3 linked regions of the Ovis aries genome follow. The protein of the gene in region 1 purifies or fractionates together with the protein of each later gene. This does not show direct contact. Links are inferred from orthologs where the notes say so. Each region holds a gene or a part of one and is shown on either strand. Other genes may lie near its edges.

What was found.
Region 2: the proteins of COPS6 (region 1) and RHOBTB1 purify together in Homo sapiens (affinity purification with mass spectrometry; 4 studies listed by BioGRID and IntAct, counting the BioPlex papers as one, with this or other methods). This does not show direct contact. The link is inferred for Ovis aries from reciprocal best matches to the Homo sapiens genes COPS6 and RHOBTB1.
Region 3: the proteins of COPS6 (region 1) and BTBD1 purify together in Homo sapiens (affinity purification with mass spectrometry; 3 studies listed by BioGRID and IntAct, counting the BioPlex papers as one, with this or other methods). This does not show direct contact. The link is inferred for Ovis aries from reciprocal best matches to the Homo sapiens genes COPS6 and BTBD1.

Annotation. Positions count from the first base shown.
Region 1 is NC_056077.1:36,794,720-36,799,049, forward strand, and holds the start of COPS6 (COP9 signalosome complex subunit 6), read right to left. Parts: upstream 2,662-4,330; 5' UTR 2,649-2,661; coding exon 2,582-2,648; intron 2,368-2,581; coding exon 2,242-2,367; intron 1,837-2,241; coding exon 1,705-1,836; intron 1,378-1,704; coding exon 1,289-1,377; intron 1,191-1,288; coding exon 1,128-1,190; intron 830-1,127; coding exon 782-829; intron 706-781; coding exon 591-705; intron 505-590; coding exon 412-504; intron 317-411; coding exon 216-316; intron 76-215; coding exon 1-75. UniProt on the Homo sapiens protein: Component of the COP9 signalosome complex (CSN), a complex involved in various cellular and developmental processes.
Region 2 is NC_056078.1:15,924,419-15,928,648, forward strand, and holds part of RHOBTB1 (rho-related BTB domain-containing protein 1), read right to left. Parts: intron 2,691-4,230; coding exon 2,572-2,690; intron 1-2,571.
Region 3 is NW_024599827.1:1,671,875-1,675,365, reverse strand, and holds the end of BTBD1 (BTB/POZ domain-containing protein 1), read right to left. Parts: intron 3,204-3,491; coding exon 2,706-3,203; 3' UTR 2,548-2,705; coding exon of another isoform or gene 2,389-2,547; 3' UTR 691-2,388; downstream 1-690.

The sequences.
Region 1 (4,330 bases):
CACGAACTGGTTCATGGTGTTGCACGTCTTGGTGATAGTGCCAAGGTAGGCCATGAGCCCCACATCATTGCATTGCTGTGAGGGGACAGAAAAAAAACAAAGTTTCCCAGGAGCTCTGGGTCCCCCACCATGTGACCAGGGAACAGGAGCCGGTCATATCCTGCATGCAGAAGACAGCAGGAGCCCCACCTCCCCATCCTGAGCCTTGCACTCACATCGTAGAAGTCTGTCTTGAACTTGTCTGTGCTGAGTACCGGGAGGCAGTGACACAGAGCGTAGGCCTCCCGCAGGATCTCATGGTTAAAGGGGACCTCGCCTGAAGGCACAAGAAGCTGCATCAATGCGGATGCTGTCACTTCCCCAGGAGGGAGAGCAAACGTGCTTCAGGGACCAGGGAGATAACTGTCCTACCTGCCTCAGAGGCCTTGACGTACTCCAAGATGAGCTTGACGCGGCTGTGCAGCATCTTGATGGCGCTGTGCTGTGCGATGAGGTGTTCAGCCACTGGGGGGGTGGTCAGGCTGAAGTTGAGAAGGTGTGTGGCCACACCTTCCCCCCACTTCTAAGGAAGCCCCTGCAGCCACCCTTACCAGTGGAGTTCTCTCCACTGCCTGTTGCTGTCATTCGGGCCACGTGGTCCACCCCAATGCGTTCTGCTTCCTCTGTGGCCAGAGTGTAGGTCAGCTCAGCAAACAGCATGGTGGCCTATGGGACACACAGAGTCAAAAGCAGCAGACCCCAGGGGCAGGCTGTGTGGGTTGAAGGGTAGGGCATTACCTACCTCTCCATTGATTATATCTATGACTGACTCAAAAACGCTGACCGGAAGCTGTGAAGAAGAGAGAGCACAGCTCTTAACTAAACATCAGACACCTGAACCTACACTAAGCACCAAAACCGGACTGGGCCCTTTTCACATTACATTTCCTCAGCTAATCTTCCCAAGGACCTACTGAAGTGGAACTCATTCCCATTTTCACATGCGGGGAAAATGCAGTTTAAAGGTTAAATGACAAGTCTCACAGATGGTAAACTGCAAAAAGATTCAACAGAGATGTCATACAATAAAAGCAGGGGCAGAGCGACAGGCAGGCAGGACAAAGTGGGCACGGGGTCACTGTACTCACATCTGTGTGCTTGGTCATAGGGTTCAACTTAAGAAACAGAGGGCTCTCAATTATCTCGCACACCTGGAAGAAGGGAGGATGCACATGTGTGTCAGGGTCCATCTTCCTTCCCCTCATTCTCTCGTCTCCACCCCAATATGTACCTGTGTGAACGTGTATACCTGCTTATGGACGTGGATGTCGGAGGGGTCAGGTGGCCCACCTGTGGTGTACCAACCCAGAAACTCCAGCTCCTTGAATACCTGTTTAACTGGAGAGAAAGGGGCCAGGACACACAGTATATCTTTAAATCATCCTTCAATTTGAAACTCCTGGTGTGTTTTTACCAGCTTCTCCCCTTCCCATCCTGGCTCCACGTAGAACAACTAATCTATTCTGTCTTTTCTCACTCCTTGCTTTCTTTGCGAGGAATAACCCATATGTGTTCTTTTTCTAAGGTCTCTTCAGCTACTCTCTCTTCATTATTCCTCTACTCTGGTCCTATTTCTCTGTTTATTTTTTCCCCAACCCTCTCCATCTTCCCCATTCTTTTCTCCCCTACTCCCACTCTTCTCCCCCACGTCTATTCCCCTCTCACACTGCTCCTCCTTGGTGTAATAATATTCCTTGTCAATGATAATCTTCTCTTCCACGGTGTGGGACAGCAGTTCAAAGGAGTTCATCACCTCAATATTTCGGCCCTCCTGCTTCCCGATCAGAGCCCCAATAACTGGAGGAGAAAAGGACACAGAAGAGGTGAGGGTGAGGACTCCTCCAGGACTTCCCTGGTGGCTCAGATGGTACAGAATCCGCCTGCAATGCAGGAGACCTGGGTTCAATCCCTGGGTAAGGAAGATTCCCCTGGAGAAGGGAATGGCAACCCACTCCAGCATTCTTGCCTGGAGAATTCCAAGGACAGAGGAGCCTGGTGGGCTACAGTCCATGGAGTCACAAAGACTGAGCGACTAACACTAAAGGAATCCTCAAACTTCTCTAATAATAGCCTGAGGGTCTGAGGTCACGTGAACCAAGTACTAGAGAAATGATTTGCGGAGGAGGAACTAGCTTCAGCAAAGGAAGGAGAAAGGACCACTATTTGAGGGGAGGAGGCTGGAGAATGACGCCGAACACTCACCCTGCATAGGCCGCCCCTCCTGCGAGCGCATGCGAATCCAATGGTCTGAGATGTTGAGAATGACGAGGGGATGAAGAGCGACTGAAACGCTGCCAGTCACTCCGGAGGCCATCACGCTGGGGACGACTAAGGAGGGGAAAGAGGGGGTGAGAGTCCAGGCCCCACGTTCCTCCCGGGAGCCGGGAACGGGAGACGGCAAAGTCGGGCCATCCATCCCTCCCGCAAGTTAACCCAGGGAGCTCGCTGCCGGCTCGCCATCCCGACTGCTCCCGGGACTCTAGGAAGGCCTCGACAGGCCCGCCAGGAAGTCTCCAGAAGCCGCCCCCGCACGGCCCGTTACCTGCAGCATCCACCTCCATCCCGCTGCTCCCTCCAGTCCCGTTCGCCGCTGCCGCCGTCGCCGCCATTTCCCCCGCGCCCGCCAGCGTCGGCCCCGCCCCCTCCCTCCCGGCTTCCGTAGGCAGCGGCGCATGCGCGTTGTCGCCGAGGCGCACGCCTGCCCGCACCCTGGGCCACTCCGGGCCGTTCCTACTTGGCCTTGCGGGGAAGACTCGGGCCTTGCGGGGAAGGCCCGGGGCAGGGAGATCCGGCTGGTGTTTGTAGCCCCTTTTCGCCTGCAACTGACCGTGAACAAATTACCTAACCCCACCCTGATCGTCCTCGTCAGTAAAACTGGGATAAGGCCGCTTAGTTCCTAAGACTGTTGCAGAATGAATGGAACGTCATTTTGCCGCGCTCGGAATAAAACCGAAATCCCTAATCACGGCCTGCAGAGCCCTGCAAGATTCGGGCCCTGCCTGACCAGCTGGCCATGGGCTCTACTTTGCTGCTCCTTGGTTCCCCTGCTTCAGCCACACTGGCCCTCACGTCTGCTCCTTTCACACGCCTCACTCACGCCCACCTGAGGGCCCTCTGTCACCTTCATCACTGTAACACCGATGACCAAATCCGTGCCTGACACAGGGGCACCTAAGTGACGTTTGAGTGAATGCTTTGCAGTGGAGCCTGGTCTTGAGTGACTCTGTCTACACGGCTTATCTTTCCTCTTTCTGTTAACACCCCCAGCGTTTTCTAACCCGTCCCAACTTCCCTCTACCTTCCATCTCCATCAATCTTACCAAACTTAACTTTGGCAAACCTGGCCAACTCCAGCCCTCTCCCCACCCCTGCACCCAAGCAAGTTGGGTACACTGCCTTTACCCCATCTCCCATCTCATTGCCCCTACAACCTAGCTGGCTCTTTCACTGTGTGTCTGCACCGTACCCAAAGTGTTACCTCACACAGGGCAGGTGTGAATTTGCTTCAGTCGTGTCCTACTCTTTGTGACCCCATGGATTATAGCCAACCAGGCTTCTCTGTCCATGGGATTTCCCAGGCAAGAATACTGGAGTGGGTTGTCATTTCCTTCTCCAAGTCATCTTCCCGACCCAGGGATTGAACCTGGGTCTTCTGCATTGCAGGCAGATTCTTTACCATCTGAAGCACAAGTGAAGCCCAGAGAACAGGTAGAGACCTTGATCTTGACCATATGAAGCGTACTGGTGCCCAGAACCAGCAGATCCCCGGAAATGTTTTTTGATGATAAGGGTGACTTCTGTTAAAGTCAATCCCTCTTAAAGCGCTCCTAACCACTGTTTTTAGTTTTATAGTTATCTGAACAATGTTTTGAAAGCATTTGAAACAACAAAAAGACAGGAATTCTGTAAAGATTGAAATAGCAATGCAAACTAGCAAATTTAACAGCAGAATAACCTTTTTTTCCCCCCTCAGCCTTCAGTCCAGCTAAGAAGCCTTATACTCCAGAGCAACTGCCTACTATTTAAAAGAGGTATATATTTCTGACCTAATTTTTCCTAAGAGCCAATCAATCGTGTCCAACTCTTTGAGACACCATGGACTGTAGCCTGCCAGGCTCCTCCGTTCATGTAATTCTTTAGGCAAGAATACTGGAGTGGATTGCCATTTCTTTCTCCAAGGGATATTCCCAACCCAGGGATCAAACCTGGGTCTCCCTCATTGCAGGCAGAGTCTTTACCATCTGAGCCACAAGGAAAGCCCAGAGAACAGGTAGAGACCTGTGTCTTGACC
Region 2 (4,230 bases), on another chromosome or scaffold:
AAACAACAAAGAACAAAAAGGCGGCCTCGAAAGCACAGGCCCACGCATATACAGGCCTGAATTAACCATCGTGCATTTACGCAGACTTCACCCAAGGACCTCTTCTTACCTCCATAACCATCTCTACCACACTCTGCCAGTTTAGGAAGGGACTAGGTGGCTTGTTTGTTACCTGAGGACTTTCAGGGGACAAAGGCCTTGAACTCCTCATGGAAACAATTTAACAAGAATCCTCCAGGAAAATACTCATTGACATCACTTGAGCCTTTGTATGTTGGCATCGAATTTGATGCTTTACACACATACTTTCATGACTGACCTGCCCTTTGGAGATGGTTCTCTTGTGGTCCCCATATTAGAGATGAGGACGCAGGTCTAAAGAGGGTCGGTCACTTGCCCAAGCTCAAGCTGAGACTAAAGTTCATAACTATATAACAGAACACTTCCGTGTACCCTGGGCATGAGTGGGAGCAGGAAAGGCTGGACACATCCACAGCTCACGCCATTCTTCATATACTAGGTGTCTTGGTATAGACTTCTGGTAGCTCGGTTCCATGGCCTTTGTGTTTTGAGCTGGGTTGAAACTACACATCTGTATCAGGCTCAGCTGTAGTTCTAAGTGGTGAGCAACCTAGTCCTTGAGGTGGGGAGGGGGGTGGGCAGGGTGATGCTAAACAGACGCCACCCCAGGGAGAGGCTGTCACACGAACAGACCCGTGTGCATTCACATCGGCCGCCAAGTTTCTGTTTTGGTCATCTCTCCTGCACATTTTAATCTGGAGACAATTACAATCCATGCTGAGAAGGGATAAAGGGGATTAGCATCAGTGAGGTCAGCTCTGACAGTGTCTCTTTATGCCTGGACCCTGGACCTCGATCAACTGCTCCCTGCCAGGTGACAAGCAGGTATCCTTGGGCACATACTTCGGCAAGCTGGAAAAAGAGGGGAAGCGAGTCTTGGGGCTCTTTTATCTTGAGAGATTACTGAAGGTGGTGCTGTGCCAGTTGGATGAGGCTTTATTAATTGGCGGCGTCCCCCAATTTTCTTGACAAAGAGGGAAAGAATACCATCAATGCCGCCAGCATCCACATAAGGCTGATGTTATTTTGCATTTAGTGCTTATGAGGTGCTTCACAGGTACTGACACTCACACCTCGCAACCACATTACGGGTTCTGATCACATTTTCCAGATAGGGAGGCTGGAGCTCAGAAAGGTGATCACTGGCCCAAGGCCAAACAGCTTGTATGCAGAGGAGTCAGGGATCTGAGCCCCACAGTCCCTTCACTGGGTAGCCTCTACCAGTTGCTGTGGTCTTAGTAATGATGCTCCCAGACACCTTTGATGGTAGAGGAAAGACTTCATTTAGCTGCAGGTGAGGACCTCCTGGTTTACGAAGGCTGGCAGACATCAGAAGAGGTCATCAGGATAATTCTAACATCTTTTCCCCAGACAGCAGACAGTCTTCGGCTGGAGGTTGGTTTAGGAGCAGCTGCAGTCTGTTCTGAAAGCAGGAGGGTGGCCTACTGACAGCCATCCATCCTGGCTTGTGATTACAGGATTCTGTTTCCCTACTTGGGGATGCAAATGCAGGCTCCTGGGTCACAAAGGGAGTGCTCAGATTTCTAGTGTGAGGGCTCCCCTTTGAAGTTAGTTACTGTTTTCTGTGTTTCCGTTAAAAGTTTGGAGAGATGTTGAGATAAGCAAAAATAAGCCCATTAGGACAATAAGCTTTATGTGGTGTCCCCAAATATATTTTTAAAAGATGGATAAGAAATATTTGCCAAACTCAACAAAACATGTTTACCTCTAGACACAAGTTAGAAATGCTTGAAGGGAATTTTTCTTTCTTTCCCAACAGCCTGTGAAGAGGTGGAGATACAAGGTCTCCAAGCTGCTGCTTGCTCTAATAATATCCCTTTGTTGGAGATAGGGCCAGCATTTGACAAGTGACCCAGTGGCTTCTACTAGATGTGACAAGCACTCTGAGAGGCCCTTTGCTCCATCTCTGTTTCCCTAGAGGTGACAAACCCTAGAGTTGAGGCCCGTCAGGGCGGAGAGCCTCAGGGACTATCACAGATCAAGGGGACCTTGAGCATGACTCAGTACATCTCTCACCTTTAGGATAAGGAGATTGAGGCACAGGAAGGCGGCTTTTTAAGGTCCCTCATCTGTTGTTGGCAGAGTCAAGCCCAGGTTTAAGTGACTGAAGACACTTTTCACTGTCTCCAACTTCTGTAAGACAGTGTGCCCCTTCTTTGAGGGGATTTTGATAGTACCTTGCCTGGTGACATTTGTTAAAAAATATATCTGTACATGTTTTCAGGGATGAGGAACCCTGTGAGGATGAAAGGATATGGGGGGACTTGGGGGTTCACACATAGCAAGTGAACAACAGGCTTCTTGTAATTGCAGAATTATGGAAAGAGGGTGACGTGATACTCAGGTATTGCCTAAAAAAGTCTTCCAAGTTAGCAGTTAAAGAATCGAAGTCCTCTGGCAACACTTTCTAATACAAATACACATACATATTCATTAAGATGCCGCTTGGGCTTTTCGGAAGGCACCTACCTCACTGTTGGCGCTTTCGACAAATGACCCCCCGAACATAGCAGCCATCCACTTGCAGCTACAGATCAGCAGCGGTTTGTGGGCACTGATGGCTCCATCGTCCAACTTAAACGTCACATCTGCCCAAGGATGGAGGAAGCACAAGCCTGTAAGCCAGCCTCGCCAGGGGTTCCATCCACATCCATCCGCCTAGTCTCATCTCTCTTTCATACCCTTAACCACTGATGTGGTGCCCACCCCCAACTCGGGCACCAATTCTCTCCATGTCCTCCAAGGATATAAGGAGTAAGCATTTAAAATTATACATAAAGTCACAACACAAATACTGTGAACCATAAAGTAATATAAAGGAGATGAATAGTCTTTTCTTATTTAGAAAAGTTTCAACATGGAGAACAGTAGAAAGAAGAATAAAACAGTAACTGGTTTATCACATGCTTAATTTTGTCATGTTTGCCTTAGCTATATAAAACGTGTGTAGACATTTTTTTAACAGCGTACTTCAAGAAAAGTTATGACCAACCTAGACAGCATATTAAAAGGCAGAGACATTACTTTGCCAAAGGTCCGTCTAGGCAAAGCTATGGTTTTTCCAGTAGTCACGTATGGATGTGAGAGTTGGACCATAAAGAAAGCTGAGCACCGAAGAATTGATGCTTTTGAACTGTGGTGTTGGAAAAGACTCTTGAGAGTCCCTTGGAGAGCAAGGAGATCCAACCAGTCCATCCTAAAGGAAATCAGTCCTGAATATTCATTGGAAGGACTGATGCTGAAGCTGAAACTCCAATACTTTGGCCACCTGATGCGAAGAACTGACTCACTAGAAAAGACCCTGATGCTGGCAAAGATTGAAGGTGGGAGAAGAAGGGGATGACAGAGGATGAGATGGTTGGATGGTATCACTGAGTCAATGGACATGGGTTTGAGTAAACTCCGGGAGTTGGTGATGGACAGGGAGGCCTGGCATGCTGTGGTTCATGGGGTCACAAAGAGTTGGACACTACTTTGCCAAGAATTTTCTAAAAATAAGATTCTCCTAGATAACCATACCATTATAACCCTTAAGAAAATCAGCAATAATTCCTTAATATCATCCATTATCTAGTTCATGTCCAATTTTTTCTAATTACCCCCAACTGTATTTTATAGGCTTTTTTTGTTTTTAATATAAAGAATCCAGTTTAGGCTCCCACTCTGTGTTTGGTTACTATTCCTCTCTAGTAAGGAAAAGGAGATTTCATCAATTTCACTTAAGGTCCATTGTTTCATTTACTGCAGGTAAGTCTTTGTAACATTTCTTTTCATTAACTTTCAAGACTCTCTACCATGATCGTCAATGTTTGGAGTAAATATTATTCAAAGTTTTAAAATTAATTAACAGATTCAGTGACCAGTTATTAAATGCATATGAAAGATGAAGACAAAAACAGAAATATCTATATAATAATGGAAGTCAAGAAGTCAAATTTTTACAATGAAACATACACAGAGAGGACAATTACAGAACAAAATTAGCACAAGTCCTATGTGTACAGGGAGGCCTGGCGTGCTGCGATTCATGGGGTTGCAAAGAGTCGGACACGACTGAGCGACTGAACTGAACTGAACTGATGAGATAGGATAAGCATGGGCCAGTCACCCATCTTAGATACAGGTTAT
Region 3 (3,491 bases), on another chromosome or scaffold:
TTTGAAAGCATCCTAACTGTATTATCATTTTTTTGCATAAAGGAAGGTTAGCAAGAAAACAATTACAGAATGGACTTGAAATGATCTCCAAATGGCCATCAAATAGATGGCAGTCCACAGACATGCTGGGGGAAAAAAAAAGTTTCTCTTGTTAAATCCAGATCTGTTTATTCTGAAAGCTCGGTTGACCCTCTCCTGTTCTTTTTTCCCTTTGGGCAGAAATTCTTTGGCACCAGCGTTTAAAAAAATTTAAATGTCCACAGCCTTTGTGCTCTGTCCCCTCACTCCAACCTATTATCAAGGCCAAGGAATTCTCAAATGTGGCCTATTCTGCAATGAGCTGACCAGGCTGGGGTGGGGAGGATGAGTGGACAAGCCACTCCAGTATTCTTGCCTGGAAAATCCCGTGGACACAGGAGCCTGGTGGGCTACAGTCTATGGGTCTGCAAGGAGTCAGATGCTGACTGAGCAATTGAGCGCATGTACACACACATAAACAAAAATAATGCTAAACCTCAATTAACTAGAACTTTGATTCAAAAACAGTGCCTCTGGCAACCCATTCCAGTATTCTTGCCTGGAGAATCTCTTGGACAGAGCAGCCTGGTGGGCCACAGTCCATGGGGTCACAAAGAGTCAGACACAACTGACCAGCAAACACTTTTAGAAAAAAAGACAAGTAACAAAAAATAAAAGGATAATAGATATTTATTTATAATTCCAGGGGATGTCCCATATCAGTAAACTGTTCCATTTCTTGTCCCTTCTATGACTACTTTCAGTTACAATCGTTCAGTGTAACACACTGGAGGCAACTGAAATACCTCAAGCGTCAAACAACATTAACTTACCTCTGGCATACTGTACTTTTTAAGGCAGAAGTATTTTCTGCAGTTGTATTTTCCAGCAAAACTGAAGAGTTTTTGCCGGTTAATCTTCAGTTTACCAGACCACACATTTCAGAGTTATTCCAGTTAACTGAGGTTTACAGTCTTACGATCATATTACCAGATAGGGAAAAATTTCCCTTTTCCTCAAGCCATTTTAAGAGACCTCTGCTGCCAACACACCTCCCTATCTTCATGAAAATATCAAGTGATATACTACTTTGGATGGAAATTTTATCCTAATTACCATTTAGAAAAAATTCTTTTTAAGTTGATACTAAAAAGAATTATGATTTTCTGCACATCTTCTACAACTATTTGATAGAGCTTAATTATACATACATTTGTAATGAGATAATCATTTTCAAGGCAAAGAAAAAGTTATTTATATAAAAATTTTGCTTTATAAAAGTGTATAAATGTCATCCTGCCAATATACTTCCCATCCCCTCCTAAGGCAGCTGCACCTGTGACAGTGAGGTCATAAATATTAAATCTTATTTCTTGGATAGAACTATGTAGGTGTTCAGAAAGTATATTTTCCAGCAGGTGTGATTTTGTTGGATATCAAAGCAGTTGTTAGAGATGTTAGTATTTCATTCCATTCCTCCTTTTGTAAGATTATCACCAAATGTCGAATTGATGATGTCTGTTTAGCCAGGCACCACCACCATCACCATCATCATTTCAATTTTGGGAATTCTCAACAGCATGCCTCATTCAGAGAGATGGGTATAGTTTATATATACTATAAACTTTAAGTGATAAAGATTAAGTGATAAAGAATCCAGCCTTAAAGTACATCTTTAGATCCTCTGTTCATAACAGATTACTGTGAATTTGTACAAATTCAATTTTATTGATTAAAACTGTACTATGTAATATATTACTAGACTATTATGAAATATTTTTTCTATAAATGCACTCAAAATTTTCTGAGGCATTTGTTAAGCCTATTTCTAGCACTATGCCAAATACTAACAACCAGATATTTCAAAACTCCAAGGATGAAGTCAGCTTTCTTCATTTTCTGAAAATTAACTTTAGTAGGAATTCTGTGGAAATACTGACCTACCTCATCTTATGTAACCTTCAAAATAGTTCAAATAAAAACAAACAAAAAACACAAACAAGCTACATAAAACAAGAATCTTTCAATTATAAAACTGCTGAAATATCATGAGTCAGCTGATCTAAGAAATTATACAAGATAAAGCTGAAATAGCTGTTTTTTTTTAAACAATTAAACCCATTCTTTTTTCCCTTAAGGTTATAAGAAAATGGAAATCACCCGTTAAATCATGCAGAGATTTAAGTCACATTTATTTACCTAAGAAACCAAAATGTCTCTTATCTTACAGTTATAAATATTCATAACACTCAATCTCTTTTTTGTGACCAGTTCTTTATGCCATTGAGACTAGACTGCATGGTACTGTTTAGCCAGGATGTATTGTAACGCTGAATTAGGTATTGTTCAGCTGGATGTTATAAAGCTGAATTATGTATAAAATATTATTTCTGGTATTTGCCCATCTTCTATTGAAGTGCCATTATTATTGCCAGGAGAACTAAAAAAGAAAAAGACAGTCTTGCTAGCAGTAGGTGTTTCATGCACCACTTTCTTCAGTCCTTTTGTGCCATAGTGGGAATCTGGACCCTAAATGAGAGCAAACGGTTCATTAGTAATTTTATTTAATAAGCACTCAACTGGACGTGGCATTTCAATTAGATTAACGATCTACTTTATTTCTTTATAGCTCTTGGATAAAAATGCATGCCAAGTCATTTACTGAAAAATGTTGTTTCTGCTACAAGCTAATTAATGACTAAAAATACTGAACGCAGAGCTCGGGTATTAGAGAACAGTGAAATGGTTTTAAGAAAAACTGTTTTATCTTCTATTAAACTTGCAATCTCCTGCTCAAAGGGGCTACTAGATTCTTGTGGAGAACTAACCATTTCTTCCCAAGCAGAGCTGTGCTGAGAGGCACTGCTTTTCTCAAAGCCGTGGTACAATTTAGCTCCCAGCTTCCTGCCTTCCCTGCTTCCGCCAAGGATGTATTTTGAATGACTCTCAGCTGCTACTGAAACATGTACTCTGCAGCAAGAAGGATGAAACCCCAGGCCCCGCAGCTCACCAGGTAGAACATTCAGGAAGACTCTTACTTTGAGTGTTGCGCATGCCATGTAGCACAAGTTGGGCAGGATCTCTATGGGTTCTTTGAACATGACCCTGAATGTGTTAGCAGTTCCATCACAACTGAATCCAGTATCGTTTTGTCCCAGTGTTTGTTTTTTTTCATATTCAATGATCTGTAATTTTTAAAAGAAAAGTTAAATTTGAGTTACATCAACTGAAAAAAGTTTCCTAGAAAATATGAAGCCCTTAGGAACAGCACAGCAGGCTTCTACTTCTTTCTGTTGTCATTTTTCTCTGCCATCTCTAACCACCAAACATGGCTTGAAACACGTGGTCAGAAAATGCATTCACCACAGTGAGGATGGGAGGATGTCAGATAACTGGGCCTTGGCTGTAGAAGAGCTTCTAAAAAGGACACATGGCTTGGGAACTGGTGTTAAAGAATGTGTGGATTTTAGAAA